Linked DNA regions of Macaca mulatta. The protein of the gene in region 3 purifies or fractionates together with the protein of the main gene of each other region. This does not show direct contact. Links are inferred from orthologs where the notes say so. Each region holds a gene or a part of one and is shown on either strand. Other genes may lie near its edges.

Region 1 (10,433 bases), on a different chromosome or scaffold from region 3:
TGGATTTCATCATGACAGCTCAGTCCTCGCTCTGCTGTCCTCCCCCAGACTGCTGTCCTTTTCTCATGGGCAGACAGAGGAGGCGGGTGGAAAAGCAGCTTGGGTGGAGGTGGAAACCCAGGCTTGGCATCAGGTTCTAGGTCCTGGCTGGGAGGTGTTGGCAGCCTGCTAACCTCTCCCTCCTCGGTGTTAGACTCCAGCTTGAATAACAAAGCGACTGGTTTTGTGTTTTGTTTTACCTAAGAAGTTGCACACCTCACACAAATTTTTAGCATATGCAAAGGTTTCACACTTTCACCCTGGCAAGACACCTTAGCCATCGGATGAAAGAAACGCTCCATTTCCATGATCCTTGATTAACTCAGTTCATGAAGCAACTTTCCATCACCTATTTTGTGCTCAGTACAAAGCCACAGAGATGGAAAAAACACAATCCCTGCCCTCAGGTCACTTGCAGCCTGGTGATGCCACCAAGCTTTGGGGTCGTGAGTCTCACAGCCTGGTTAGAATCTGCCCTCCACCACTTGCCAGCTCTGTGAGCTGGGGCTAGGTGCTCGACGTCCATGAACCTCAGTTTCCTCATCTATAAAATGAGATAACAGAAATATCGACTTCATAGGCTCGATGTGAGGACGAGGAGTTAATCTGTAACAAATGCTTGGAAGGGCTCTGGCATGAGCCATGTGCTCACTGTTAGTTATATGCTAATGTTACAAAGGGATGTGTATGAAGTGTTGTGGAAGCAGCAAGCAGGGAGAAAGAGAGGAAGGGAGAGAGGGAGGTACCTGGTTCAGCATTAGGGTAACACTCTGCCTTGGTTTCCTCATCTGTTTTAAAGAGATAACAGTGGTGCCCACTGCACAGGATAGAGTGAGGTGATGCACATGAAGTGTTTAAGACAGGGCCTGGCAGAGGCCACGTGTGCAAGGACTCTTAGCCACGATTCAGGGGGTGGCATACCACCGTTGGAGTATTTGGAGATTTATATTATAAAATGGAAGCAAGAGACCTGTTAAAATCAAGCAAATAGAAATGCTCAAAGTCAACATGAAGGAGTCAACAGGGTAAATCGAACCATTTGAAGCCAAGGCCAGAGTTGGGCAAATTAAGAGCCCTATTGCTCTCTGTTATCTAAGCCACCCACGTAGGGCATGTATTTCTGAATAATAAGCCTTAAAGTCCTGCTGGGTCTCCCACAGTCCCCATGCAAGAGTGAGTCCTGCACACTCAGCCCTGCCTGTGGTTCCCGGAAGGCCTCTGTCACTGCCTGTTCACTTCCTCTCCCAGGGAAGATACCCCAGTGCCGTGTCTCGGGGCAAGAGAAAATGAAGACAGACCTGGAACATGAACATGGTGGCCTTGTCAGAAAGCAAGTGTGTGTTGCTGAAACATCAGCAGAGATTGTCAAAGGGATAAAGAGATAACTTAAAAGGGTTCCTACTGACCAAAATGAGACAAGTTGGCCATCTAAAATCAAATCATAATTATAGTTCAATAGGACACATTTCGTCTCTTAAATCTTCCAATCCATAATGACCATCATGGCCCATAACCTCAAAAGAGTAAAGTTAAAATAAAGTTCAGAAAAGGTTAGTTGCAATAAAACATTAGTTTTATTAATTTTAACAAGAAGGGGATGAAGCTATAGATGCATTTTTTTTCCTTCTTTTAACTATGTTGCCCCTTACAAGGTACAGCTTTGCCTTATTTTTCTCTGTCTAAGTAAGGATAAAGAGTAAAGGCCGGGCATGGTGGCTCACACCTGTAATTCCAGCGCTTTGGGAGGCCGAGGCAGGAGGATCACTTGAGGCCAGGAGTTTGAGACCAGCGTGGCCAACATGATGAAATCTCACCACTACTAAAAATATAAAAATTAGTTGGAAATGGTAACGCATACCTGTAATGCCAGCTACTCTGGAGGCTGAGGCACAAGAATCACTTGCAATTCCGGAATTCAGGAGGTGGAGTTTGCAGTAAGCCAAGATTGCGCCACTGTAACTCCAGCCTGGGTGACTGAGTGAGACTCTGTCTCAAAAAAAGAAGAAGAAAAACAAGAAGTTGTGAGTAGGCCAAATAGTTCCAGAAAAAGCAGAAATCCACCACCCCCCCGACACACAGGAAGTGGCTCAGGAGGTGACACAGAGAAGGAAAGTGTGTCTGCTGGGGTTTTGCAAGTTGGTTAATTTGAAAGATCCCTCAAGGAGGTAAACAAATGGTGCAAACTTCATTCATTCATCTCCTGGAAGATAAACTTCGAACACCCAACTAACCCCACCAATTAAATGAGTTAAAGGAAGACAGACACAAGTGTCAATTATGCTAACAGAGCTCTGTGTTAAATACCCCACCAGCATCGCCTCATTTAAGCCTCACAACTATGTGGGAAAGAGACTTTTATCCCCATTTTACAGATAAGGAAACCAATTCTCAGAGAACTGAGGCCCTCCCCCAGATCCAAGTCCGCTTAGCTCCAGTCACCCCACGTCCTCTGCATGTCACAGGTGCTCAGAAAGATGCAGATGCACCTTCAGGAAGCCAAAATGAGCAGAGCCCCTAAAGAGCGGATTGACGGCCTCTTTCTGGAAAAAATGGAAGTTTGAATCTGAGGAGGTATCCCTCAACAACAGGTGCTGCTCACCAAGTCTGGGGCCAAACGCAGCAGCTGTTCTCCCACTTAGACCCCTGAGACCTGTCTATAAGGTTTTTCAGAGCGAGGACACATCCCCAAAGGTTGTGGCTTCTGGTGGTTAGCATTGACTTGGGGCCCATCCCATGCCAGAGGCTGCCCGAAGTGCTTAAATGTTATTACCTCATTTGATCTTCACAATCCTAACGGAAGTGACTCTTCTAAGAGTCTCCCTATCTCACAGATGAGGGAACCGAGGCACAGAGAGGTTAAGTGGCTTGTCTAAGAGCTCACAGAAAGAGCGGTGGAGCTAAGGCTTGACCCCAGATGTTAGATCCTGAGCCCATGCTTTAACCAGTGACCTGCACTGCCTCCCAAAGAAGGAAGCTGGTGCCTGGGAGGGAGGGTGCAGAGCGAGGGTGTGCATGGTGCATGTGTGTGTTTGTGGGGTGGCCAGCACTCTTCGGGGCACTTTGCCAATGAGTTCAGCTCCCCTGAAGTCCACTGTTGCTCTCCTGACCAGTCACTCAGTCTGGATTTACTTGGCCCAAGGCCACTGGCACCAGCCTGGCCAACATTGTGGCCAGGCTTACCCCCTTACCCACTTCCTTGCTGCAGACCCCAAATCTTGACTCCTACATCCCTATCCAGCCTATACCACGAGGCTCCCATCTCCGGGCAGGGCCCTGTGATGGGGCAGGGCCTCCCCAGATGCCCCTTGTTCATTACCAGCTCACAGGATCTTCCCATGACGCATTTCCTCTGAGGGGATCAGCCCAGATGCTGCAATAGACAATTCTGGAAGTAACCGAGTGGACAAGACTTTCCCCATCGTGTCCTGGGGTTCCTGGGGTCACAGTGTCCTTGTGAATGGCCACTGAGTGCTCCCACCTCCCCCTACCGCCCGGGGTTTTGTCCTGGTGCATTTTCCCAGATCATCCCAGCCCTTCCTCCCAGGATGGATGTCCAGAGCAGGGCAAGGGCTGAGCCTAGAGCCCTGGAACCAAAAGAACAGGACCCCAAATTCTGAGCCCCTTACTTGCCCCACCTGCTCCCACCCATGCTTTCTTCATTCCTCCTCCAAATGCCCCAGCTCCCCACTGCAATCCCTTCTGCACCCAGCCAGGTCCTATGACACACACCTCCCCAGTGCACACAGACCTGCCCAGCCGCAGGGCTGCCCACTGGGCATGTCATAGGTGGCTCAGTCCTCTTCCCTCTGCAACTGGCCCCAGAAACCTGCCAGATGTTGGTGCCAGGTCTGTGCCAGAAGGGCAAGGCCTGTCATTTCTAGTAATCCTCTGGGCAGTGTGACTGCACCTTTTACGGCAGCTCAAAGGGAGAGGGTGACTCGTCCTGGGTCACAGAGCTGACAGGGCGGGTAGAACAGGTGATATGCAGGGCTTTCTGAGTTTATGAGGGCCCAGTCTTGTGTCTGCCTGGCAATGGGCAAGGCCCCTTCCTGCCCAAGCTCCCCGCCCCTCCCCAACCTATTGCCTCCGCCACCCGCCACCCGAGGCCAACTTCCTGGGTGGGCAGGAACTGGGCCCTGTGCCCAGGGCGTGCACTGCCTCCACGCAGCAACCCTCAGAGTACTGAGCTGAGCAAAGGAGGAGGAGGGGATCGGCACTCTGAGGAAGGCCTAGCCACTGCTGCTGCCAGGAATTCCAGGTAGGAGGGGCGGCAACCTTCTGCCAGCCCCCAGGCCACTCTCCTGTGCCTGCCAGAGGAGACGGAGCTTGAGGAGAGCAGGAAAGGTGGAACAATGCTGCTGCTGCTCACTCTGTTCCACAGATGGGAGGGACAGTGGGGCTTGGAGTGGGGGTCATGGCACAGATGGGAAAATGAAGGCTCAGAGAGGGGAAGAAATGCCCAGGAGGTACCGAGGGCAGGCGACCTCAACCACAGCCCAGCACTGGAGCTGTGAGTAGACGTAGAGTAGCAGAATATCCATTCAGCCAGCTCAGGGGAAGGACAGGGGCCCTGAAGCCAAGGCATGGAGCTGGCAGGGAAGAGAGCTCAGAGAGAAGGGGAGGGGAGTCTGAGCTCAGTTTCCCACTGCCTGAAAAGAGGGTGGTACCTACTCCCCTCACAGGGTAACTGAATGAGACTGCCTGGAGGAAAGCTCTTCAAATGTGGCCCACCCCACCCCAGTGACCCCTGACATGGGGGAGGAAGGACAGCATCAGAAGGGACTTTCCGGGCACACCCAGCACCCAGCTCTGAGCTGTCCTTGAACTGTTGCATTTTAATCCTCACAGCAGCTCAACAAGGTACATACCGTCACCGTCCCCATTTTACAGATGGGGAAATTGAGGCTCAGAGCAGTTAAACAACTCACCTGAGGCCTCACAGCCAGTAAGTGGGTTCCCTGGTCTGAATATGTGTGCTGGAGGATCCTGTGGGTCACTCACCTGGTAGAGCCCCAAGGTGGAGGCATAAGTGGGACTGGTGAATGACAGAAGGGGCAAAAAACACACTCATCCATTAATTCTGGAAGTATCCACGGCACGTACGCCAGCTCCCAAGCAAGTTTGCACATTGCACAAAGGGTGATGCAATCTGATTTAGGCTTTTAAAGGGATTGCAATCAAGTGGGGCCCTACTGGCCTCAACCCTGTACCACCCCTCCCTTCCATCCCCAGTAGTCCCCAAAGACCTCCATCAACCCCAGGATGGGGGCCGTATTCCCAAAGAAAATCCAAGCTGTATACGCATCACACTGATTTTCCAGGAGCAGAAACAGAAACAGGCCTGAGGCTGGTCAGAATTGAACCCCCTCCTGCTCTGAGCAGCCTGCGGGGCAGGCTAAGCAGAGGGCTGTGCAGACCCACATAAAGAGTCTACTGTGTGCCAGGCACTTCACCCAAGGCACTTCACAAGCATGCTTGGGAATGAGACTTCCAACTCTCTAGGATGCAGGTGAAACACTTCCTGGTTCAAACAGGTGAAGCGGCCTGCCTGAGACAGCATCACGCTTCTTTACAGATTTGCTCTCCCACCTCTACCCTGTCTCATGGTCCCCCATGCCGGCCTGACGCTTGTGTCTGCCTCAGTCATGCTCCATTTTTCCATCCGGACAATCAAGAGGGTTTTTGTGTCTAAGGCTGACTGGGTAACTTCGGATGAGCGGCCTCTCTGCTCTGAGCCTCAGTTTCCTCATCTGTCAAATGGGCTCTAACCCACTCTGATCTCCCAGGGCGGCATCAGTCTTCAGCATCAGGCATTTCGGGGTGAATTAGTAAATGGTAGATCTTGCTACCAGTGGAACAGCCGCTAAGGATTCTGCAGTGAGAGCAGAGGGCCAGCAAAGTGGTACTCTCCCAGCGACTGGCTGACTCACGCCACCCCCTCCACCTTGGACGCAGGACACTGGTTTCTGAGCCAGGTACAATGACTCCTTTTGGTACGTGCAGTGGAGGCTGTATGCTGCTCAGGCAGAGCGTCCGGACAGCGTGGGCGGGCGACTCAGCGCCCAGCCTGTGAACTTAGTCCCTGTTTGCTCCTCCGGTAACTGGGGTGATCTTGGTTAATATTCACCAGCAGCCTCCCCCGTTGCCCCTCTGCACCCACTGCTTAAATACGGACAAGGACAGGGCTCTGTCTCCTCAGCCTCAGGCACCACCACTGACCTGGGACGGTGAATCGTAAGTATGCCTTTCACTGCGAGAGGTTCTGGAGAGGCTTCTGAGTCCCCCACGGCCCAGGCAGGCAGCAGGTCTGGGGCAGGAGGGGGGTTGTGGAGCGGGTATCCGCCCGCTGAGGTGCCGGGCAGATGGAGGGGCTGCAGCTGGGCTCCTATTGTCGTAATAACAGCAGCCATGAGGGTTGTGTCCTGCTTCCCAGTCCTGCCCGGTCCCCACTCAGTACCTACTGGTGGATACACTGGCTTTTGTAAGCAGAAGTGCACGAGGGTGTCTAGCTCCGCGGTCCTGGCACCCCAAGATACAGCAACAGCAAGGAAGCGCAGCCATTTCTTTCTGTTTGTGCAGCTCCTGTGTCTGTCAGGGGGTTCCTATCTGTTGTCTCCTGTAAGCCTCACCACCTCTCCTACTACTTGGACACGCATCTTTTTCCCCTTCTATGGATGAGGAGGTTAAGGTTCAGGGAGGGGTGAGGAGGAACGCCGGCTCACATTCTCCATCCCCTCCAGATACGGCCAGGAACAGACCTGTGCCAGGTCTCAGCCTTACATCAAGATGGGTCTCCCCCTGCACTGTGGACCTCTGGGCCCTCCTGTCCCAGTGGAGGACAGGAAGCTGTGAGGGGCACCGTCACCCAGGGTTCAAGCTGGCATTCCTGAATAATCGCTCTGTGCCAGGCCACGGCTAAGCTCTGTGCACGATTAAGCCTCATAACCCTCCAAGGCAGTTACCAGGGTGATTCCCATTTTACAGATGAGGAAGTTGGGGACCGAGTGGTTAATAACTGGCCCCAAATCACACACCATCCATAATTTGGGCTCAGGCACCTGGCTCCAGGCCCCGAAATCCTGAGCCTGGCCCTAGTGCTCACCGTTTCTCTCAGGTCTCAGGCGCTGGATGGGGAACAGGAAGCCTGGGCTGGACTTGAGGCCTCTCTGATGCTCGGTGACTTCAGACAGTTGCTCAACCTCTCTGTTCTCTTGGGCAAAACATGATAACCTTTGACCTCTGTCCCCTCCCCTCACCCCACCCGACCTTGATCTCTGGAGTGTTGGAAGAATTTAATTTTTCCTGCACTGAGTTTGGAGACAGGGGTCAAAAAGCTGACCAAGGCCAAGCTGGCCAGTTTCCCATAGAACGCCTCTAAAAGACCTGCAGCACTAGCAGCAAGAACTGGTATTCTTGAGAACTTACTGTGCACCAGGCACTTCTTGGTATTTTGTGCATATTTAATTTCACAATAACTCTATGACAAAGTCCACCTTTCTCATCTCCAGGAAACTGAGGTTCAGAGAGGTTAAGTAACGTGTCCAAGGTCACACAGTTAATAGCAAGTTGATCTGGAGCAATCTGGCCTGAGAGCCTCTAATTCTAGCCACAAACTGAGGCTGCCCCTCTTCATTTAGCCAGGCCACCTCTGAAATCTTCTGGTTCAAGACTTCTGGCTCCAGCTTTGTACACAGAGACGATTAAATGTCAGGTTTTGCAGTCACATCTGTTTAATCCCAGACAAAACATCTGGGATTAAATCTCAGTTTTGTAAGCAAGTAGCTCTGTGATTTTTAGTGAGTTATTTAATCCTCTTTGGGCCTCAATTTTTCTGTCTATAAAATAGGGTTAATCATTTGCACCTCATAGGGTAAGCTTTGAGGACAGATTAGATGATACAGTGCCTGTAAATCGCCTGGTGTTAGTAAGTGTGGCAATGATGGTGACACTGAGGTTGATGTTTGCTTAGCATAGGTTAGGCAGCTAGCAGGCAGTAAACAAATACTTGGAGAATTTAATGGAAAATTGGCCAAACTCAGATGCTGTTCACTGCTGAGCAGGAGCCCCCTCCTGCTGAAATGGGTCCTGGGGAGCGCAGCAGCTGGCAGGAAGAAATCTGCCATCTCTCGGGCAGGAGCTCAACCTCTGTGCAGGCACAGGGACGGCTTCCGCACCTGGTGCCCACTCTCGCATTACGTCAGTTATTCCTCATCTCTCTCCAAGGGATTCTTTTCTCCACTGTATAGCTCTGAAGCCAATGCTCACAGAAGTGAAGTCATTTACCCCGGGCCCCCTGCCAGTAAGTGACAGGGCCTGGTCACACTTGGGTTTATTTATTGCCCATTTCAACAGGTCGTTTGACCATAGGCGAGATTCTCTTCCCTGCACCCTGCTGGGTTGCTCTTGGTCCCTTATTTTATGCTCCCGGGTAGAAATGGTGTGAGATTAGGCAGGAAGTGGCTTGCTTCCCTCTCCCTGGCCCTGCAAAGGGTGCTCCCACCTGCCCCAGTTCCAGAAATGTCACCATGAAGTCTTCATTCTTCTGTTTTAAAGCTTGGCCTCAGTGTCCATACACCATGGGGTACTTGACCATCTACTTTCTCCTCTCCAGCCGCCCTCCCAGGCACTAGCTTTTGAGGGTGCAGGGTGCTGCCTCTGATAGAAGGGCCGGGAGAGAGCAGGTTTTGGAGTCCTGATGCTATGAGGAACAGCTTGGGAGGCATAATGAACCCAACACGATGCTTGAGACCAATGTCAGAGCCCAATTCTGCCATTCATCATCTGAGATTTGAGGGCACAGCTGTCTCAGTCCGTGATCTGAGTGCTGGGAAAGCCAAGACTTGTTCCAGCTTTGTCACCAACTTGCTGTATGGCCTCGACAAGGCCCTGACCCTCTCTGGGCTTCAAACTCTTCACTGTGAAAGGAGGAAACCAGAGGAGGTGATGTGACGCCAGGAAAGATGGATGGGTGTGGGGAATTGTGCTCCTCCCAGCTGTCACCCCCTCTCCACCCTCCCTGCACCAGCCTTGCCACCTCCTTCGAGCCCAGCAGCCTCCTGTCTAGGAGGGTGCCTCTTCTCCATCTGTTTTGCTACATCGAACCCAGATGCCATTCTAACCAAGAATCCTGGCTGGGTGCAGTGACACTCACCTGTAACCCCAGCACTTTGGGAGGCCGAGGCAGGCGGATCAAGAGGTCAGGATTTCAAGACCTGCCTGGCCAACATGGTGAAATCTCGTCTCTACTAAAAATACAAAAATTAGCCAGACGTGGTGGCATGTGCCTGTAATCCCAGCTACTTGGGAAACTGAGGCAGGAGAACTGCTTGAACCCGGGAGGCAGAGGTTTCAGTGAGCCAAGATCACACCACTGCACTCTAGCCTGGGGGATAAAGCGAGACTCTGTCTCAAAAAAAAAAAAAAAAAAATCCTATGTTAGCGTACAGAGGTCCCCAGTGAGGTCTTCTCCCAGCCCCACTTTGCACAACTGGGGAGAGTGAGGCCCCAGGACCAGGGGATGCTTACTCAAGGCCAAATGGATAGTGATGGCCCTGCCAGGACTAGAAGCCACAACTTCTGGCCCTAAGGCCACTCAGCGTATTTAGTGTCCCCACCCTGCAGAGGCCCAACTCCCTCCTGCCCTCTGAGCCCTGTAATGATGGGGGAATTTCCATAAACCATGAAGGACTGCACAAAATCCAGCTGGGAAGTGAAAGAGAAACCTAAGGGAGATGGAAATATACAGCACTAATTTTAGCACCGTCTTCAGTTCTAACAACACTAGCTAGTTGAAGAAAAATACAAACATGTATTATGTAGTGTGTGGTCCGTTCCATTTGGATTACTTAGAGGCAAGAGGGCCAGGAGAAAGGTGGTAGAGAGAAACCAGCTTTAGGCTTCATTTTGTTGCTTTACTGGAAAGAAACTTTTAACAGTCCAGGGGGGTCAATGAATCTCAATATTTGTTATTTCCAACTTTTTTCTCCAGTGTTTCATTTCCCAAATTCAAGGACACCTTTTTCTTTGTATTTTGTTAAGATGATGATTTTACTTTTGTGACTAGTAGTTAACTATGTGGCTGCCAGGCATATTCTCCTCAGCTAGGACCTCAGTTTTCCCATCTGTGTAGACAGCAGGTTCTACTTAGGGGGCTGCAGATTGATGGTCCGAAGTCTGGGCATATCTGGAGTAGAAGGAGCACTGTGGGGCATGGCAGGCTCTGCGTTGCTGTGGATGACACTGACTTTGACCATTGCTCAGCAGAGCCTGCTCTCGCCGGTTCAGCCACAGGCCCCACCACTCCCTATTGTCTGAGCCCCAGCTATGAAACATGTATTCCTCACTGGACTATCACCTGAAGGCTTTGAATTTGCAACACCTGTCAACCCCTCCCT
Region 2 (10,701 bases), on a different chromosome or scaffold from region 3:
CAGTGAGCTGAGATGGCGCCACTGCACTCCAGCCTGGGCAACAGAGCGAGACTCCATCTTAAAAAAACAAAAAACAGGCCGGGCGCGGTGGCTCAGGCCTGTAATCCCAGCACTTTGGGAGGCCGAGACGGGCGGATCACGAGGTCAGGAGATCGAGACCATCCTGGCTAACACGGTGAAACCCCGTCTCTACTAAAAATACAAAAAACTAGCCGGGCGAGGTGGCGGGCGCCTGTAGTCCCAGCTACTCAGGAGGCTGAGGCAGGAGAATGGCGCAAACCCGGGAGGCGGAGCTTGCAGTGAGCTGAGATCCGGCCACTGCACCCCAGCCTGGGCGACACAGCGAGACTCCGTGTCAAAAAAAAAAAAAAAAAAAAAAACCAATAAACAAAAAACTCAGGATCAAGGCTAGGTCTGGCTCCCAGCCACAGCCCTTGCTGCCTTCACCTGCTGAGTGTTCCAGGAAGCCTCCCAAATCCCAAGGGTCAGGCCACCTGAGTCTATCACCTCTGTGTGAAACAGCCAAGCCCAGGGGCTTTGGGGCCGCAGGTGTGAGGCCTCTCCAGTAGCCACGGCTGTGTCAGGGCTGTGCCTGGGGCCTGGCCAACGTCTCCCCTCCCCTTGAACCAACAGGAATTGGGCAAGACACTCACCCGAGCCTTGACCACATGGGGCGTGTACCCCCTTCTGAGCCTGGGATACCCTGGGGGAGTGGGCAGCCTGTGCTGCACCCTGGTGGGCTTGTGTTCTGGATGTCACTATGGCACTTTGGTCCTCAACCCCCACCCCTACCCAGGAGTCTGAGGCCTCGGCCTTCCCTGGACTTGTTGGGCAGCAGAAGGCACCAAGGACAGGATGAGAACCCCTGAGGGGCAGCCCCACAAATGAGGGCACTCTGACCTGTCCTTCCATTGCTACCCCACCCAGGAATGGCCCTCAACTGGCCACAGCCACCAGGAAGCCCCAGGACTGCTCCCACACCACAGCGGTGCCCTCTTCTCTATCCCACCCTTGGGACCTACCCAGGGTTCTCCAGGCAGCCAGGGGCCAGCTCCAGGACAGGGCAGGAGAATGCAGATCTGGGTCTGGCATGTAACTGAGGGGGGTGTGCTCCAGGGAAGTAAGGCAAATGGCCCAGGTGACGACCACCTGGGGTAGACCCAGGGTCTCCAGGGAATGGCTCGGGGGCAAACGCTGTGTTCTGTGTGTGCAGGATCTGCCCCCAGCAGCAGGAAGGGGGCAGAAGGGAGGCGAAGAGGAGGTACCCAGGACTTGTACCCTGGCTGCCAAGCAGGGTGGGGTGTTTTCATGAGGATTGCTTTTAACCAAAAGTCCTCAGCCTTCTGCAGACCCAGGGCAGAGGTGAGTTGCTCCAGATCATGTGCTTTAAGTAGAGCCCTTTACCAGCCAGGAGACCCAGCCACCCCCTTCCCCGCCCCGTGGCTGGGGGGACACAGAGTCACCTCAAGGCCCCAGCCCACTCAGCGCACAGTGCACACATCCAGGATGCAGAAGCGTGCGCGGCAGGTGGGGCAGGGCACGCGGCTGGCCAGCCAGGTGTCAGGGCGCAGGGGGTCCTGGCGGCTGGCGAACCACTTGCCCATGCAGGTGAGGCACCACATGGGGCGGCAGTAACACTGCTGGCACTCGCCTGCGGCTGCCTCCTGACAGGTCTTCACTAGCTTCACACTGGCACGCGTCTGCATGCAGCCTATGCAGGCCTCCAGCTCCTGCGGGCAGGTGGAGCGTCACCAGGAGCCCAGGCAGACACCTGTGGGCACCCACCCATCCACCTGGCCCAGGCCCCCACCTGGCTGCTGGGCACTGAGTAGGCCGGGTTGACCTCTACCAGGGAGGCAAATGTCTCCAGGAACAGGTCGCCCAGGCTCTGGTGGATGACCACGTGGGCTGCCCTGCGGATGGGTGCCTGGAGTTTCTCGCAGAGCTCCCCGTACTCAGTGGAGTTCAGCCTGCAGGGAGGAGAGCTGCTGGGGCCCTCTGCAGGGCAAAGGGAGGGGGAGATGGAGGCCATACCCCAAGGAGTGACAGGGCAGCTGTCGCACCAGGACCAACCAGGAGAGATGGCCCTAAGGCCAGAGCCCAGGGACCCAGTGCCAGACGGCCCAACCTGGGCATGGGGCAGACCTAGGAGCAAGGCAGCTGTCCAGCCTGAGGGCTGCACTGTCCTGAGTGCTCCCCAAGAATCTGGGGGAGACGGCTCCAGGGAGAGTGGAAGGGGAGGCCAAGAGTGCAGGGGGGCCCGAAGGAGGGCTATGCGGGAGGGCTCAGTGACGGGTGTCTCGTGGACACCTTGCCTGGTGTCACACAAGCCCATGAGTGCTGGAGTCCACACCGGCTACGCCTAGCACCTCCCAGGGGTCATGGCGCCAGAGCCTGGCTCTGGCCTGCCGCGTGCCCTCTGCACCCCCGCAGGCACCACACTCTTACCGGATGTCAAAGGCCTGCACGGCAGGGTTGGCGCTGGCCACACGGATGGTGAGGAGCTGCACGGGCAGGTTCGAGTCTGGCGAGAGCTCGTGCTGCCGAGACTCCGTCACAGTCAGGTGCACGTCCTGCTGCTGGGCCACATGCACTCGGTAGGTGGTCACCTTCATCACCCACACGTCTGTCACAATCACACGGGCACCTGGTGCGCCGGTGGCAAACTTGTCAATCCGCCGGAACTCAGTGTTGATGGAGGAGGCAACAGCCTGCCAGCCGGACTGTGGGAGGGCATAGAGTGCCAGGGTGCGTGCCAGTGGGTGGCGGGCCCACTGGTCACGGGACCAGTAGTAGATCAGGATGCAGGCGACGGCGGGGAGGGTCACGGCCAGCAGCAGGAAGAGCCGCCAGGCGGGGGAATGGAACCGCTTTTCTGAAGCCGCAAGGCACACGCCCACATAGTAGCCTGCAAAGGACAGGGTGAGCCTCAGGAGAAAGTGGGTGCCAGGCCGCTGTCCACCCCCACACAGCCCTGGGCCCGGCCCTCTGCCCGGGTTCCAGGGTCAGCTCCCAGGGTAAGTGGGTTTTACCCACTCTGCACTTCCCTAGCCGGCCCACTCTGTCCCTGCCTGTGGCAATGGCAGGATATATTAGGGGAAAAGGTTTTTAATTTGCTGCTTTAGTTTCACACATTATGTAAATATTGAAAAAACTACAAAAGCCTAGAAAGAGAAAAATAAACACAATGAAGTGTCCCCTCAGGCAGAGCTGACCCCTGGCCTGCCCAGGGCAGCTGCTTGGACAGGATCTCAGTCTCTCAATCTCACCAGCTCTGAGAAGGCTGGTCAAACGTGGCCCATCCCAGAGCTGAGAAGTTGTGTGTGAGAAAGGAAGCAAGTGTCAAAGAATGATGGGACACGTCCAGAGGACACAAGGCCAGCTTCAGGGCCCTGCTGGCCAGATCGGGGACAATTTGAAGGTCCAAATAAGCAATGGAGACGGTGAGGAGTTGCACTAGCAGCTTCCAGTTGGCAAAAAGTAATAGTCCACATTTGGAGTTGGCCCAGTCACTGCATTTCAAGGTAATGTGACATATAACAATAGGTTACTGGGGCTGGGTGGCTCACGCCTGTAATCCCAGAACTTTGGGAGGCCCAGGCGGGCGGATCACAAGGTCAGGAGATTGACACCATCCTGGCTAACACGGTGAAACCCCGTCTCTACTAAAAAATACAAAAAAATTAGCCGGGCCTGGTGGCGGCGCCTGTAGTCCCAACTACTCGGGAGGCTGAGGCAGGAGAATGGTGTGAACCCAGGAGATGAAGTTGCAGTGAGCCAAGATCGTGCCACTGCACTCCAGCCAGGGCGACCGAGTAAGACTCCGTCTCAAAAAAATAAATAAATAGGCCGGACGCTGTGGCTCAAGCCTGTAATTCCAGCACTTTGGGAGGCCGAGACGGGAGGATCACAAGGTCAGGAGATCGAGACCATCCTGACTAACAGAGTGAAACCCCGTCTCTACTAAAAAATACAAAAAACTAGCCGGGCGCGGGGGCGGGGGCCTGTAGTCCCAGCTACTCGGGAGGCTGAGGCAGGAGAATGGTGTAAACCCGGGAGGCAGAGCTTGCAGTGAGCTGAGATCCGGTCACTGCACTCCAGCCCGGGCGACAGAGCGAGACTCCGTCTCAAAAAAAATAAATAAATAAATAGGTAACTAATACCTAATAAAGCTTGAAAACTTTCAAACTAAGTTAAAAATAAAAAGAGCTTGACATCCAGCTGTGAGGTCAGCTGTGCTGTCTGCTTCAGGTGTGGCCTCCATGATTCACTTGTGGTCCCTCACAGGCGTCTGGGGAGGGTGCAGTTGGAAGGGATACAGAAACCCACCCAGTAGGCCTCGAAAGCGGCCTGGTCAGGGCCCTAGCCCCACTCAGCCCCATCCATTTCCCAAGTGGGCCCCCAGCCTGAGGCAGGCCTGGGCGTCTCCACCCCACACCTGCCTCCAGCTCCCCCGGGCCCGGGCAGCTGCATGCTCACACCGGGATGTGGAGGGTCACCCCTCTTGTTTCCCCAGAGCGGCAGACCTGGCCAGCCACTGGCCATTTGTCCTCCCAGAGCTGCGTCTGCCCCTGTGTCCTCCAGAGGTCCCCCCTTGAAATCCCTTTCCAACCACTGCACCCCCCATCTCCCACCTGTCTGTCATCCAACTGGCTGAGACGGGGACCTTCCAGAGCCCCAGTTACCACCTGGGGCCCAGCCCAACACCCCCCGGACAACTCTGAGGGTCCCACCTGCACAGAGGCCCTCCTCAGCCTCTGCCTCTGTGGCGCCCCCAAACTGGAACTGCCTCCAAATCCGCCCGTTCTCCCCACACCCACCTTCCAAGGCCTAGAGCAATGCCACCCTCCACACAGTCCCTCCGACCCCTTCTGTTGGACTCAATCAACAGTTGCCTTCTCCTGGCCACTGCCCGCAACCACGACAAGCAAAGGCTGCTTGGCCTTGGAACCCCCAGGCATGTGACGGTTCAGGACATGGTGAGCCGGGGCATCCCCTGCCCAAGGTTCTGTACTTGGGTTCCCGTCACCTGCAAGCCAGCGCCGGCGGCGCCCCTAAGCGCGCTCAGCCCACGCCGCGGTCCCTCTGGATGAGGACCGGCGCCTCTCCCCAGCTGCGCCCAGGCGCTTTCGGGGCCTCGGCGAGCTGGCGGAGGCCTCCTCCTGACCTCCCAGCAAGCCCTGCGCAGGAGAGGACGCGGCTGGCCGGCCGGAGCAGCCTCACCGAGCGGCAGCAGCGAGTGGCACAACAGCGTGGCGGCCGTGCGGCGCAAGTGGAAGGGCACGAAGGCGGCGTCCTCGCTGCCCAGCCAGCCCGACAGCAGGTTCTGCACCGTGAGCCCCGCCGCGTGGAACTCGTTAGGCGTGAACACAAAGCACACGGCGAACACCAGATAGGCGAGAGTGAAGGTCACCTCGGGGCTGTCCATCGCGCCGCCGCCGGGAAGCTGTCCGGCGAGGACCCCGCCCCCGGCGCGGGGAAGAGGCCGCAGCGCCCAGACCCCGACGTGTCGGTTGCGGCAGCCGCCACCCGGCCGCCCGCGGGGCACTCTAGGAGATGGAGTCCCGCCGCCCGGCCGCCCGCGGGGCGCTCTGGGAGATGCAGTCCCCGTGAGGGTGCGGCCTCTCTTCAGGGCCCGCCCTGGAGGCGGCACTGCACCTGGTCTCAATGCACAGCTGGGGAAACTTAGGCCTGAGCCAGCGGCTCTCAGTCCCTGGCCACGAAGCCCCGCCCAGTAGCGTCAGCTGCAGAACCCGAAATTCGTGCGGCGACGGCGAGCCGGCGGTCTCAGCTTCAGACACCCCCGGCAGGCCCTCCACTCCGGAAACGGAACCGTCGGCGCACGGGGGGGCGGGGCCGGCGAGACACAGCTTCCCATTGGACCCCCACCCTCCTACGGTCCCGCCCCCGGCCGCGTGCTGATTGGCCGCGCGAAGGCAACCGTCGGCGTTTGAAACTCGGGCGCGCCGGCGGCCATCAAGGGCTGGAAGCGCGGCAGCGGCAGCAACTAGGCTCGCCCCCGGCGCGGAGCAGACGCATATCCAGACCCCTCCTTCCTGGCGGCGGCGGCGCGGGCTCAGAGCCCGGCAACGGGCGGGCAGGCAGGTAGACGAGCGTCTACACGGCACGGGGAGGCTGGGGTCCCGGGGGCGCGAGGCCGTCCCGCCCCGCCCTCGGCCCTCGCCTTCCCGCCCTGGCCGCAGCTTTCCCCGGGAAGCGTCCCCCACGGCTTCTTCCCGGGCCGCCGGGGCCCGTCCCGCGCCCTGTCATGGGACCCGGCCCTAGACCGACCACCGGGCTGGATCCCCTGGGCGGTGGCCGGGGGCGGCTAGGGCTGGGCCGAGCCCGACGGCGGAGCGGGCGCCCTGAAGTGCTTTGTTCTCTTCGACCCTCTCCTGCCTCTCGGCCGCCCACCCTGGTTCTTTGTTGGCTCCCAGCTCGCAGACCCTCTTGTGGTTCTTTGGTCCCTTCCGGCCTCCGTCCTGGTGCCAACTCCATCTGGGCCACCTGTGGCGGACACCTGGGCCCCGACCGCTTCCCCGCACCTGCTGCGCCGCTCCATCTTCCCCCGCGCCGCATCCCACTTGTGCACCAGAGTAGCATCAAAGCACCGGCCTGGGGCCGGTCCCTTCCCTGCCCAGAGCCCCTCCCGGGGCTCCATAGTCGGTAAAGGCCCCTCCTGACCAAGGCTGGGTCTGCTGCTCTCCCGCACTCCTCCAGGCCGCCGGAAGGCTTCCTCCGAGTCACTTTCTCCCTGAGTTCCAGGCTTGCGTGTCCCCCAGTGATCCAGCTGCCCTTCCCCTGCCCTGTACCCAGTTATTCAGGCCAAAAACCTAAGCGTCGTCTGTAAGTCCCATATATGCCAGTGGCCAGGCCCGGGTCTGGTCTGGCCTCTACTCCTCGGGCTGCAGAAGCGTGTGGTTTCCCTGCTTCCCTCCTGCCCTTACTTCCCTACCCACACACAGCACCACAGTGGGCTTCTCAAGCTGCAGCACCGACCTGCCCGGGCTGCCCCTCTCTCTTCTCCAGGACCCTCCCCAACTTTGCTCTTTTTCAAATCAAAGCCTTCCCAGGTCCCCCACCACCAACAGGTGCCCGTGGGGTTCCTGCCCAGGTCGACACTCGGTTCTCTCTGGCAGCCTTTCTGCCTACGTCATTCCCTAGACTGGGAACGCTGTAGACAGAAAGGGTGGCAAGTGTGTGGGTGACTGGTGTGAGGACCTGGGCGGCCCTGGAACCTGGGACTGACTGGAGGCCCTGATATGGAAGCTCCTTGGCACCTGCTGCTCAGCTCTGGGCGTCCCTTGTTCGCCTACTGTCTCCCAGCTCCTCCTCTGGGCCTTCACCCCAGCCTGGTCTTGTCCCGCTGCCTAGCCCGGTGGGAGAAAGCAGACCAGAGCCGCTGTCCTGCTTTTCTGCCCTCTGCTGCCCGGTCCTGCCTCACGCCACACGCGGAGGCCGGTGGGGAGACCGCGGCTTCCTCTGGCTCTTCTGGGTTTCTTATAGGCCAGGGCTTTCCTGTCTCCTGACTTCTGCCTGACGTGGTAATACAACAGTAGAGATTATGCGGTCTTGGTTTTTCTTTCTCACCATCTTAGCCTGAAGGCCCTTTAGCTCTTGGTCCCAGGAGGCAGCGGTGCTGCCCATGGCTCCCGGTGCCAGGCTGGAGAGTGAGTCTCTGAAGCAGGATGGGGACTCAATCGGAGGCTTTCTCTGCCCCACTTGGCAGAGGACATGTGTGGGAGGTGTGAGCTCCAGAACAATGAGCACACCTGTGCCGGAAGGGGTCGTGCTCCCTGCGGCAGCTGTCATGTCTGTGTCTGGACAACATGGTTGTGTTGCCCTCACACTGACACAAACATGTTCTGCTTTTCCAGAATGAGTCTGCAGGTCTTAAACGACAAAAATGTCAGCAGTGAAAAAAGTACAGAAAATTGCGACTTCCTGTTTTCCTCACCAGAAGTTACCGGAAGATCGTCTGTTCTTCGTGTGTCACAGAAAGAAAATGTGCCACCCAAGAACGTGGCCAAAGCTATGAAGGTAAGTGTGACCTCTACAGTGTGTGGCTAGCCAGGTTGCCCTAGGACCTGCTTTCCTGGTGACCTCTGAGCTGCAGGACACTGCTGGTGTGGCTGTAACAGCTTGAACTAATGAATGGGTGCTCTCCTCCTCACTCCACAACAGGTGACTTTTCAGACACCTCTGCGGGATCCACAGACGCACAGGATTCTAAGTCCTAGCATGGCCAGCAAACTTGAGGCTCCTTTGGCTCAGGGTGATACCCTTGGACTGGAAAACTGTCACCCGGTGTGGACTCAGAAAGAGAAGTAAGTGTTCATGCTACTGGACATGCTGGAGCTTCACCCTCTCTGTCCGATGGCTCTTGCAGAAACGTGCTGTCCTGTTCTGTCAGGCCTTGGCTGGAATTTTTTTTTTTTTTTTTTTTTGAGATGGAGTCTTGCTCTGTTGCCCAGGCTGGAGTGCAGTGGCACTATGTCCACTTACTGTAAACTCTACCCACCCCAGGTTCATGCCATTCTCCTGCCTCAGGCTCCCCGAGTAGCTGGGACTACAGGCACCCGCCACCACGCCCGGCTAATTTTTTTGTATTTTTTAGTAGAGACGGGGTTTCACCGTGTTAGCCAGGATGGTCTCGATCGCCTGACCTTGCGATCCACCCGCCTCAGCCTCCCAAAGTGCTGGGATTACAGGCGTGAGCCACCGCGCCCGGCCGGCCTGGCTGGATTTCTCCTGAAATCTGCACTGAGTGTATGCAGCATGTGGCCAGTTCACTAACAGAAAAGTCGACCATCAGATACTTGGATAACTTAATACTTCACTCCCCCCCACCAGTTCACTAACAGAAAAGTCGACCATCAGATACTTGGATAACTTAATACTTCACTCCCCCCCACCAGTTCACTAACAGAAAAGTCGACCATCAGATACTTGGGTAACTTAATACTTCACTCCCCCCCACCCCAGAGATGGAGTTTTGCTCTTGTTGCCCAGGCTGGAGTGCAGTGACACGATCTCTGCTCACTGCAACCTCCGCCTCCCATGTCCAAGCGATTCTCCCACCCCAACCTCCCCAGTAGCTGGGATTACAGGTGCCCACCAACACCTGACTAATTTTTGTATTTTTAGCAGAGATGAGGTTTCTTCATGTTGGCCAGGCTGGTCTCGAACTCCTGACCTCAGGTGGTCCACCTGCCTCAGCCTCCCAAAGTGCTGGGATTACAGGCATAAGCCATCGCGCCCAGCCCATACTTCACATTTTTGCTGGGCTTTTGCCAACCAATTGGCTTCGATCTTTGCTCCTCTAATTTGATGAAATGTCTTGGCCCCATCTCCAGGAAGGCAATCCATAGTTTCATTTATCTTGAATTCCGCCCACCCTATTAGGACTTGGAAAGAGCAGATGGACTTGTAGGCAAAGAAACCATGTTGTGTGATCCACCCCTCAGAGTGTGCATGGTTGGAGGGCTCTGCCAGGCGCTGGGTGTTGGGTTAGGCTTGGCATTGGCAGTCTGCTGTCCGACCTGATGCTTAACTGCAAGCGGATGGCAAGGCGGTGTCTGTCTTTGCCTGGAAAGGGAGGACCCTGGAAGCAGCTCTTTACTCTGTGGCTGAACTAATCGGTCTGGGCACCTAGGAACACCTCATCTGCATCCAGGGTGGGAAGGGACCCCAGAGGCATGATTTTCTGCTGGTTTTTGCTGATGTAACTGTTGTTGCTGTTTTGAGACAGGGTCTCGCTTTGTCACCCGGGGTGGAGTGCCATGGTGCCATCACAGCTCACCGCAACTTTCACCTCCTGGGCTCAAGCAGTCCTCCCACCTTGGCTTCCTTAGAAGCTGGGACTACAGTTGTGAGCCACCATGCCCGGCCAATTTTTTTTTTTTTTTTTTTTAAAGACGGAATTTTTCTTGTTGCCCAGGCTGGAGTGCAATGGCGCGATCTCAGCTCACCACAACCTCCATCTCCCGGGTTCAAACGATTCTCCTGCCTCAGCCTCCCGAGTAACTGGGATTACAGGCATGCACCACCACGCCCAGCTAATTTTTTGTATTTTTAGTAGAGACAGGGTTTCTGCATGTTGGTCAGGCTGGTCTCAAACTCCCGACCTCAAGTGGTCTGCCCGCCTCGGCCTTCTAAAGTGCTGGGATTACAGGCATGAGCCACCACGCCCGACTGGCCCAAAACTTTTAAACAGATTTTAGGTGTGCGAAGAAGAGCATAAGGAACACAATACCACTAATGCTTCTCACTCCCTGAGATAAAATGTCACCAGTAAGTGCAGGCAGCATTTCCTATGTCCTTCTCTGGGCCCTGGGCCTGTCTCCCCTCCACCCCTCCAGCCTGAATTTGCAGTTCTTGCTATATCTGCTTGCTACTTTTCAAGTTGGATTTTGCCCCTTTTGAAATTTGGTCAAACAAAGTGAGAATGAATCAGACATTGGTTCACAACGACCCCAAGCAGGAGGGGAGGACCAGGAGCAGAGAAGTCGTCTCCCAGCTGCCATGGGTGTGATCCGTCCCAGAGCCACAGATGCCCTTGCCTCTGCCCTATGCCTCCAGGGCCACCCAGCAGCCTCCATAGGGCAGAGGGTGTAAAGGAGCTAGGAGGGGCTTGGGAGGGTGGCCCTGTGGGGCTGCAGCCAGAGTGACTCTGAGCTCGTGGCTTGGGCTCGTGGCTGT
Region 3 (9,421 bases):
AGTATTTTAATTTTGAGTCCGTTCTTTCCATTGTCTCTAACCTGTTCTAATATCCTGTTTCAGGGGATTATGATTCCCTTAGATGAACAACAAAAAAATCATTCAATGATCCTGGGAGACTTGGCCATTATTAGCTCTCTCCCTAAGCAGGACAAATTCCTACGCAGGCCAAATTTCAGTTCAGTGCAAGAAACACTTAAGCACCTGTATGTGGCAGGCCTGTGCTATGCACTGGGAAATAGCTGTAAATAAGCTGCAGTCCCTGTCCTGAGGATGGTTACAAACCATGGGAGGGATATTAAGCAAATGATCACAGGTGGGACAAGTGTCCAAGGCAGAGATCAGGGTGCCGGGGGCTATGTGAGGAGACATTTCACCTTGCCTGCAGGTCTAATAGCCCTCTCCTTGATGAAATAACATTTAAACTGGGCCCTAAAGGCTGGTGATACAATCAAGAGAATTGCTTCTTCCTCACTGGGGCCTTCTGCAAAGCTGTTCCCATTTCAGGAAGACATCATATTTTAAAAGTTCATTTTCATTCAAGTTGATGGATTTGGAGCTCATAATGTTTTTTTCCACAGAAATATACTTGCGAATAGTGGCTAGGTTTCCAGGTTAGGATGCCAGCACCTAATTATCTACAATGGCTGCGGCACCAACAGCCAGAAATAGCATTTTACCCAGCTTGTGTGTGAAACACAGATCCAAGCCCTGGTCGCCAATGGAAACCCCTTCAAGAAAACCCTCCTCTTCCTCATTGAGTGCCAGTAATTCTCTGTCAGGGAGGTCCCTCCGATCCAGTCCCCAATCCCACTGCCTTGGTTTAAACCAACTCTTCCCTTAAACCTGCATCACAGCAACCAGTACAAAACCTGGTCGTCTTACCTCGTTTCTCCTCTTCCCAGCCTTCTCCCTCTACTCCCCAGAGGCAGCCAGCTACTTTTTTTGTTTTTTGTTTTGAGAGGAAGTTTCACTCTTATCACCCAGGCTGGAGTGCAATGGTGCGATCTCGGCTCACTGCAACCTCCGTCTTCTAGGTTCAAGCAATTTTCCTGCCTCAGCCTCCCGAGTAGCTGGGATTGCAGGCATCTGCCATCAGGCCCAGCTAAATTTTTGTGTTTTTAGTAGAGACAGGGTTTCGCCATGTTGGCCAGGCTGGTCTCGAACTCCTGACCTCAGGTGATTCACCCGCCTCGGCCTCCCAAAGTGCTGGAATTACAGGCGTGAGCCACCACACCTGGCTGCCAGCTACTTTTTTTTTGGAGACAGAGTTTCACTCTGTCGCCCAGGCTGGAGTGCAGTGGCGCTATCTCGGCTCACTGCAAGCTCCACCTCCTGGGTTCACGCCATCCTCCTGCCTCAGCCTCCCAAGTAGCTGGGACTACAGGTGCCCGCCACCACGCCCAGCTAATTTTTTTTTTTTTTTTTTTTTTTTTTTTGTATTTTTAGTAGAGATGGAGTTTCACCGTGTTAGCCAGGTTGGTCTCGATCTCCTGACCTTGTGATCTGCCCACCTCGGCCTCCCAAAGTGCTGGGATTACAGGCATGAGCCACCGCACCTGGCCTGCCAGCTACTTTTTAAAGACCAAACATGAAGGCTTTTCAACGTTCCCCACTGCCCACAGATTGAAGTCCAAGCAATCACACACAAGTTTTCCTGATATAAGCCCCCATCTATCTTTCTAGCCCCTTTCCCTGCCACTCCCTGCCTGTATTCTACAGGTCCAGGCACACAGTTCTGTCTTCCCCAAAGTTCCTGCTCTTGCTGCTGCTGTTTCTAAATCCAGCTAGAATGAGTGACTTCCCCCATCTTGACCAGAACTCTCCATCAATCTTTCAAGACCTAGCCTCTCATCCAAGAAATTTACTTCCTTTTACTCTGGTAGTTTGGTGAAATTGTATTATAATGACTTGTTTGCTTATTCAACAAATATGAGTCCCTACAATGGGCCCAGCTGACTGCCTCAGTAGAAAGGACACGTCGTGAAGGCAGAGACATTGTCTATTTGCATCTGCTTTGGCTTCCTTCACTGAAAAGCCGCAACAGAGGTCTCTACTCAGAGTTGGGTTCATATCCTGTCTTTGGCACCTTCTAGCTTATTTGTTTTGTTGTTGTTTTTTGTTTTTGTTTTTGTTTTGATACGGAGTTTTGCTCTTGTTGCCCAGACTGGAGTGCAATGGCACAATCTCAGCTCACCGCAACCTCCACCTCTCGGGTTCAAGTCATTCCCCTGCCTCAGCCTCCCGAGTAGCTGGGATTACAGGTAAATGCCACCACGCACAGCTAATTTTTGTATTTTTAGTAGATACGGGGTTTCTCCATGTTGGTCAGGCTGGTCTCAAACTCCCAACCTCAGGAGGTCCACCCACCTCGGCCTCCCAAACAGCTGGGATTACAGACGTGAGCCACCACACCTGGTTGCTGCCTGATTTTAATCAAGAGATTTGAAGCTTACGTTTCCTTATCTGGAAAACGGGGATAATACTATTTCACAAGTTTGTTTAAACACAAGTTCCCAAATCCAAGTGAACATCAGAATCACTAGGAACCTCAAAAATACGTAGAATGGGAATGAGCCAAGATAACTGCATTTTTTAAAAAATCTCAAGTTTAATGCTTGTGTATAGCCAGATTTTAAAAACCGTAAGCTGGAGGCTTTTTCACAAAGTACCTGGCACATTACTGCTCAGTGCCCAGGTGTGCCCCTGAACATGGGGTTCCTACTGGAACAAGCAGAGCTGATGTGAGATAAGGGGACCATATAGGAAGGAGCCTAGGCTTAAACCACACATATAAATCATGGGAAAGGCTGGGCACCATGGCTCAGGCCTATAATCCCAGCACTTTGGGAGGCCGAGGCAGGTGGCTTGCCTGAGCTCAGGAGTTTGAGACCAGCCTGAGCAACATAGTGAAACTCCGTATCGACCAAAAATACAAAAAATTAGCCGAGTGTGGTGGCACACAGCTGTGGTCCCAGCTACTCAGCAGGCTGAGGTGGGAGGATCATTTGAACCTGGGAGGCAGAGGTTACAGCGAGCTGAGATCATGCCACTGGACTCCCAGCTGGGTGACAGAGTGAGATCCCATCTCAAAAAAGAAAGAAAGGAGAGAGAGGGAGGGAGGGAGAGAGGCAGGGAGGGAGGGGGAGGGAGGGACCCGGAGGGAAAGTATGGAGGGAGGGAAGGGTATGAAGGACTGAAGAAAGAAGTAAACACGGGACATGGTATTTCTGGCCGATTTTGATCACCAGTCACTCTGGAAGGCGAACAAGTGAACTGCCAATAAACCCATTTGCTCAGCCCAGCCTTCTAAGATACAAACAGTATAAAGTCCAGGAAGGAGTAACTTCTTCCAAAGGTTAGTTATTCAGAGTGTTAAGTTACTGCTGAAAGTGTAAGAGGGGCAGGGACCTCACAAACAGAGTTGGCAACAAACGAAGATGTTGGCAACTGCAACACTGCCTATTATTAGATCAGTGTCATTCAAAAGGTAGCTTAGAACACAGTGATACTGGCAACGTGTCCTTCTCAATAAGCAGGATCTTTTTCTATTGCTTCAGTATTTGCCCAGTAATAGAAAAGGGACATACATACAGCCTGATTCCTGTCACCTCACCTTGTGATGAGTGAAGTTGGCCTGCCGAAGGCCCAAGATACAGACTGGGAGTTCACCTTCGAGAAAAAAAAAAGGGGGGGGGGTAGTCTGTGTGTGCCTCATGAGGAAATGGGATTAATCTAATTTTATAAAGTTCCAGGGCTCAGGTTCATAAGTAGAAGCTATAAAAATGCCATAAAGCATGCTACAAGCAGGTATGACTCCTCACTCAAAGTTAGGAAGCATCCTCCTTCATTAAAATGAAAACCCAGGAATTCTGCGTCCAGAAATTAATCCAGCAAAAAATATTGGGTACTTCCTAAATGCTCTTCAAGAGATGACTGGTTACACAAATTATGTGATATCTAACAGACAGCAGAGCACGGACATGGAAACTTAACACAGACAACCTTCAAGTTGCACATTTTAATTTACAATTTTTACCAATAAAAAGAATTAGTTTACAAAAAGGGAAGTCCTTTATACAAAATAAGGATTTTTTTTTCCATTTGTAAAGAGAATCCACTGTCATGTTTTGCCTTGCCAAGTCAAAACTCAAATAGCTTGTTATTATTCCAGAAAGATAATCCAGACAAAATCAATAATGTCATCAGCTTCCTGACCATGTTTAAGAGGAATAACTTCATGAACATTTTGCCCTGAACTGAAGAGTTCTAAATACTTGTAAACCTTTAGGAAAAAACTGACTGCTCGCAGGCAGCTGACTGGTAAGATGGTACACCGGAGACTCCGGGTCACCCACCGTCAGAATATTCTTATACATACAGTGAGTCTGCACGCCTGTACAATGAGTGTACATGCAACATAATTGGAATAATGGCCTCTAAAATTTTACAAGTAAACTTTATTGTGGCCACAGATCAACAACAAAACATATGACAGTTAAGGGTCAAACTCTCCCCACCTATTTTATCATATAAATTAAATATGGAGAGGTACACACAAACTCTATTCAAAATGAGAAGCTGTTTGCCAACTCTCATTTCCTAGGATTAACACACATCACACTGTTTAAGAGCAGGGGAAAGAATAGGCATACTGTTAGAGCACAATGTTTCCTGAAAAGAAACTGATCAAAACGTTTGAAGCCTTTTTAGTTGCCTCAAAGTATGACGGCCACTCAATACTGCTCCTAACAGTCTGCTTTCAGATAACGTCAAAAAATAAAATAACTGTGTGAAAAGCCACGGCCTTCAAAAAACTTTATTTGGTTATGAGCCAAGCTCTGATAGGAAAAGCCCACCTACGAAAAAAAAGTTGTGGGTATTTAAGCTGGTTGATTCACAGAGCTTGTACATTCATGACTCAAAATAACAGACCCTCAAACCCAAATGATTCTAAAGCCATTTCAACCTTAAATCATGTTATTCCCTTAGCTGTGCTTATATTAACTTTAAAAAATGATCTCCGTGCAGAGAGGAGCTGCACCTTCTTCACAATTAACTGAAACATGACCAAAAAATGGGGGATAGGCAAAAAAATGACATTTAAATAGCGTATGAGGGTCTCTCCTCCTTTACTCAACGAACACATATCCAGAATGAGAATGAAATGGAATCAATGCCCAGGAGCCTCTCAAAGAGAGCATCTCCCTGTAGCCGACATGACCTGGATCCTCCTAACACAAAGCAACCCAACTACTCTGGGTACACAAAGCCAGTATGCCTTACGTAAGAAACGCAAAGGGGTTGCATCCCCCATGGTTGAAACCTAACCCCTGCGTTAGACACAACTCCACTAGTCTTGATCACTTAACTCAGGAAAAAAACACCCAGCAACAACCCTCATATCTCATTAATATCATCTGTGGCCCTCACTGACTCAGTGGTACTTTTTCATGAAAACATCTGAAGAGGTGGCAAATGGTTACAACGGATGTCAGGTCGAAGCAATTCCAAAAGCTGAGAAAGCGCTTCATCCGCTGCTTCAGTCTTCTCCCCCTATTGCTACAGTTCTGCCACCAAAAGGGGAAGATTGCGTGAATATGATTGTTGTGATCAAGCCTTGGCAAAAGTCAATAAATAAGAGAGCCTGTCAAGGGCAGAACAATTTTATGGGCAACCTCTTCTAGTTGCACATGTGGGGGCTGGGAAAAGTGGGAGGGAGGCATGTGTGCAAGAAAGAGATAAGGGTCCTTTTGAGAAGCGTTTGGTGACCCAGCCCCAGCTCCCCAGCTCAATGCCAGCAGACGAGGACCCGCTAAAACCCATTATTCCGACGGAAAGGGGAGAAGAGAAGACACCAAAAAATGTAGTCAGTTTTGCAATTTGCACAGTTGGTATTTGTTCTTCACAGCAGTAAGGACTTGAATGAGAATCGGGAAACTTGTGGAACACTTGTATTTGTCTTCAGGATTTAAAAAACTTTGTCTCGTACTGAAAGACTACATTCAGTGTGGGTCAGGTCCAACAGTGTTAGCTAGAACGCAGTTGTTAAGCGCACCCAGCACTGGGAGAAAATGTGGCTTGAGAGGAGCGGCTGCCTGAGGCCGCCCCTTCACTGGTCTCCAAGTCGAAAGCCCTGGCCCCAGTTGTGTCTCCCGCCTCCGCCGTTCTGATCAGCAGCTCGCCTCATGCTAGCAGGGGGCACACCAAATCCTGATACTCCTCCTCTCCTACTGGGCAGCCAGCGGTACCTGGTGCAGAAAGACGGGGACACAAAGGGAGAGAAGAGAACAAAGTCACTTCCACACAGTTATCTGACCTCCGAGAACACCTCCCTCTCCTGCTCTTCCCATGGCACTTGTCATGTTGAAGGCGATGAGGGACAATGTCTTATTTAACTTTGTGTTTTCAGTACTCAGCTCCATGACCTGACCACAGAAGGCATTCGTTTTTCATGTTTCTTAAATGTATTCAGATTTCAGCTAAATTCACACTCTGAACGTTTTTTTCTCCGCTTATAAAAGTAATCCATGCAGAACAGTATGGAAACAAAAATATTACACCCACAAGCCCAGCAACCAAAGAATGACTGATAGCATCTTGGTATATCTAAATACGGCTCAAACTGGATCAAAGGATACAAAATACATTCACTTTCAAAGGCCAAATCCACAGCCTGCGTGTTTGAGCCTTGCACAGCATTTCTAAAAGGCTCTCAGCTGAGCCCATCAAAGGAGACGGGGGAAGAAGGCTTTCTATGTTGGAAGTATGGGTATGTTTTAAAATGTATTCAGAATCTGCCTTCCAGGTACATTCTTCCCTTCTCACGGATGGTGGGAGAGCTGGGGCCCCAGAAGGTTACATGATTTCCCACCTTAAAATTAATAAACTAAGAGTTCACAGAACAGCTAAGAGAATTTAAACTCAAGCCTACACTCTCAGTAGTATTTTCCAACTATTTCCCATCCTTGACTCTTTTATTACTGAACTGAGAATGTGTTTAAACCTATTCCACTTAGCAGATCCTAATGTTTAAAATTTTGCTTGAAGGCAGAGAGGATGATCTGATACCTCTGCTTAAACCCTTCCTGGCAGCAAGAGTAAGTCATGACAAGTGACTTGTCCACAGCAGAAACCCTGAAGAGGACAGGCTTTATACTTGACCTCATACAAGAGCAGCTATTCTGTGAACTTACTCAGCGAGCATTACCTTACACCAGGTGCTGCCTGCTTATCAATTCATTTGATCTTCACAACAACCCCATGAGGTAGGCATTACTATTACTCCTGTTTTATAAACAAGAAAATTGAGCCAACACTGAGTGAAGCGCTTCAAAAGTGACAGGATTCCAACCCAGTGAGCCTGGCTCCAGAGCCTGCACCCTGCACTACTTGTTATACTACATGCCTCCTGCCTGGGAACAGCAGTCAGTGACTGGAGTCTGTTTACATCATACTCAATACCTTCATGCCTCTTCCCAAAACAGAAAACAACCCGCTTTTTTATTTATTTATTTATTTATTTATTTATTTATTTATTTATTTATTTATTTTGAGACGGAGTCTCACTCTGTCACCAGGCTGGAGTCAGTAGCACGATCTCAGCTCACTGCAACCTCCCCGTCCTGGGTTCAAGCGATTCTCCTGCCTCAGCCTCCCGAGTAGCTAGGATTACGGGCGCCCACCACCATGCCCAGCTAATTTTTGTATTTTTAGTAGAGCCAGCGTTTCACCATGTTGGCCAGGATGGTCTCGATCTCCTGACCTCGTGATCCGCCCCTGTTGGCCTCCCAAAATGCTGGGATTACCGGCGTGAGCAACCACGCCCGGCCAACAACCCCTTTTAAACACAAAATTTAATGTGTACAGGGAAGATATAAGTACTCTAAATGGAATGGAAAATGGTGATACGAATGTATCAGCATTCCATTTAGAAAGGTAGTTATACCTTCTTATACTCACCTCCTCCATTTTAAACAAATACAGCTTTACCATTAAATCAAAATGTATTTTCCAAGTGCTGGTTTCTCAACATCCATGCCTTCTGGTACAATAATATTCCTCCAAAGTACATGATAAAATAGAACACTTACAGAAGGCAATGCTAGGGCTGTCTTGCTTTGCTACTCACTCTAAGACAATATGGAAGCCATCTCCACTGATTAAGTAGATAGTGAAATTAAATGCAAATAATTAGTATAAAAAGATACCCAATTATACATAATCAACAAAAATTTATGGTAATTTCAAAGCAGTTATTGCTTTTGCAAGGAGCTATATTTTGTCATCTGATCTTTATGCAAAATTTAGCAGAAGGACTTCCACCAACAGAGAAAGTTCAAGTGGAAGGCAGGCTCCAGGGCTCTGCTGATTTTGCCACTAGAATCTTGTATCCTGTGTTGCCCACAACTGAGAAGTAGCTACAAGCCGTTAAGTTAGAATATGGCCATTTAAAGTAAAGTAACTGTTGGCTGCCCCCCAAAAGCACCAAGCTTTTTTTAATTGATGCATCTGCCATCCTACTTGATAAACCTAGATCAGAAAGCCAAACCTGCTGTTATTATGTCCTTTGATAATTAGAAACCAGATTGGTCATTTGTTTTTTTAGCCTGAAGGCAATTCAAGGCTCAGAAGAGAAACAAGTTTCCTTTTATTCTCTTAAAGAAAAACACACACACCACAACCACCAATATGGTATATCTCTGTAAATTACAGTTCACAATTTGAAAAGTCTTTGAAAAACATACCCCTACCCTATAAAAGGAGGGGGAGAAAGAGGAGGCCTGCTCAAGTTTTACTGCCCTCATTGATCCCTTAGAAGAATGACAGAACTGCAAAACATTAAAATTAGCAAGATGTGAAAGGGTTTGGTTTGTTTGTTTTTTTAAAGCTTTTAAATGCAAGCTATTACTGCATATCCCTGATATGAGATTAGGCGTGATTGTCAGGCAGGCTGTGACACCCAGATGGTGATTTAACTGGTCCCTTCTTCAACAGCCTTTTTGCCTCACTGACAGAATGGTCACACGACTATTACATGCTTCTATGTGTGTGCGCATCTCCTCTCAGCTCATCAAAATCCTGCTCTCCTACCCCCACCTTCAGGAATATGGCAGCTAGCTTTACTTATGGAGAACCCACTATGTGCTTCCCAACGGTGTATCTTACCTCATGCAGTCTTGTGAGACAGTGGTTTCTCCCACAACTTACAGACTTGCAGACTGAAACCTGGAGGCTTGATTAAGTGACTTTCCCAATATAAAAACTGCTATCTGAGGGGACTGAGATTCAAACCCAAGTTTGTCTCAAAAATCAAAGCTGTTGCCCTTAGCATCCTACTTCAGTAAACCCTAAAAGCAGACAAAGAGCACAAACTCCCAGGGGGTTGGGACCATACAAACCTCAAGGCTCTCATTTTAAC

The links.
Region 1: the proteins of DERL1 (region 3) and SERPINA1 purify together in Homo sapiens (affinity purification with western blotting; 4 studies listed by BioGRID). This does not show direct contact. The link is inferred for Macaca mulatta from reciprocal best matches to the Homo sapiens genes DERL1 and SERPINA1.
Region 2: the proteins of DERL1 (region 3) and TMEM129 purify together in Homo sapiens (affinity purification with western blotting; 3 studies listed by BioGRID). This does not show direct contact. The link is inferred for Macaca mulatta from reciprocal best matches to the Homo sapiens genes DERL1 and TMEM129.

Annotation. Positions count from the first base shown.
Region 1 is NC_133412.1:167,662,496-167,672,928, reverse strand, and holds the start of SERPINA1 (alpha-1-antitrypsin), read left to right. Parts: upstream 1-4,192; 5' UTR 4,193-4,383; intron 4,384-5,825; exon of another isoform or gene 5,826-6,273; intron 6,274-10,433.
Region 2 is NC_133410.1:1,832,988-1,843,688, forward strand, and holds the start of TMEM129 (E3 ubiquitin-protein ligase TM129), read right to left. Parts: upstream 5,727-10,701; 5' UTR 5,429-5,726; coding exon 5,224-5,428; intron 2,909-5,223; coding exon 2,449-2,908; intron 1,971-2,448; coding exon 1,811-1,970; intron 1,731-1,810; coding exon 1,482-1,730; 3' UTR 1-1,481. Other genes in the region: TACC3 (transforming acidic coiled-coil-containing protein 3), read left to right, coding at 7,879-8,040, 8,185-8,327.
Region 3 is NC_133413.1:133,432,755-133,442,175, forward strand, and holds the end of DERL1 (derlin-1), read right to left. Parts: intron 6,252-9,421; coding exon 6,113-6,251; 3' UTR 4,014-6,112; downstream 1-4,013. UniProt on the Homo sapiens protein: Functional component of endoplasmic reticulum-associated degradation (ERAD) for misfolded lumenal proteins. Forms homotetramers which encircle a large channel traversing the endoplasmic reticulum (ER) membrane.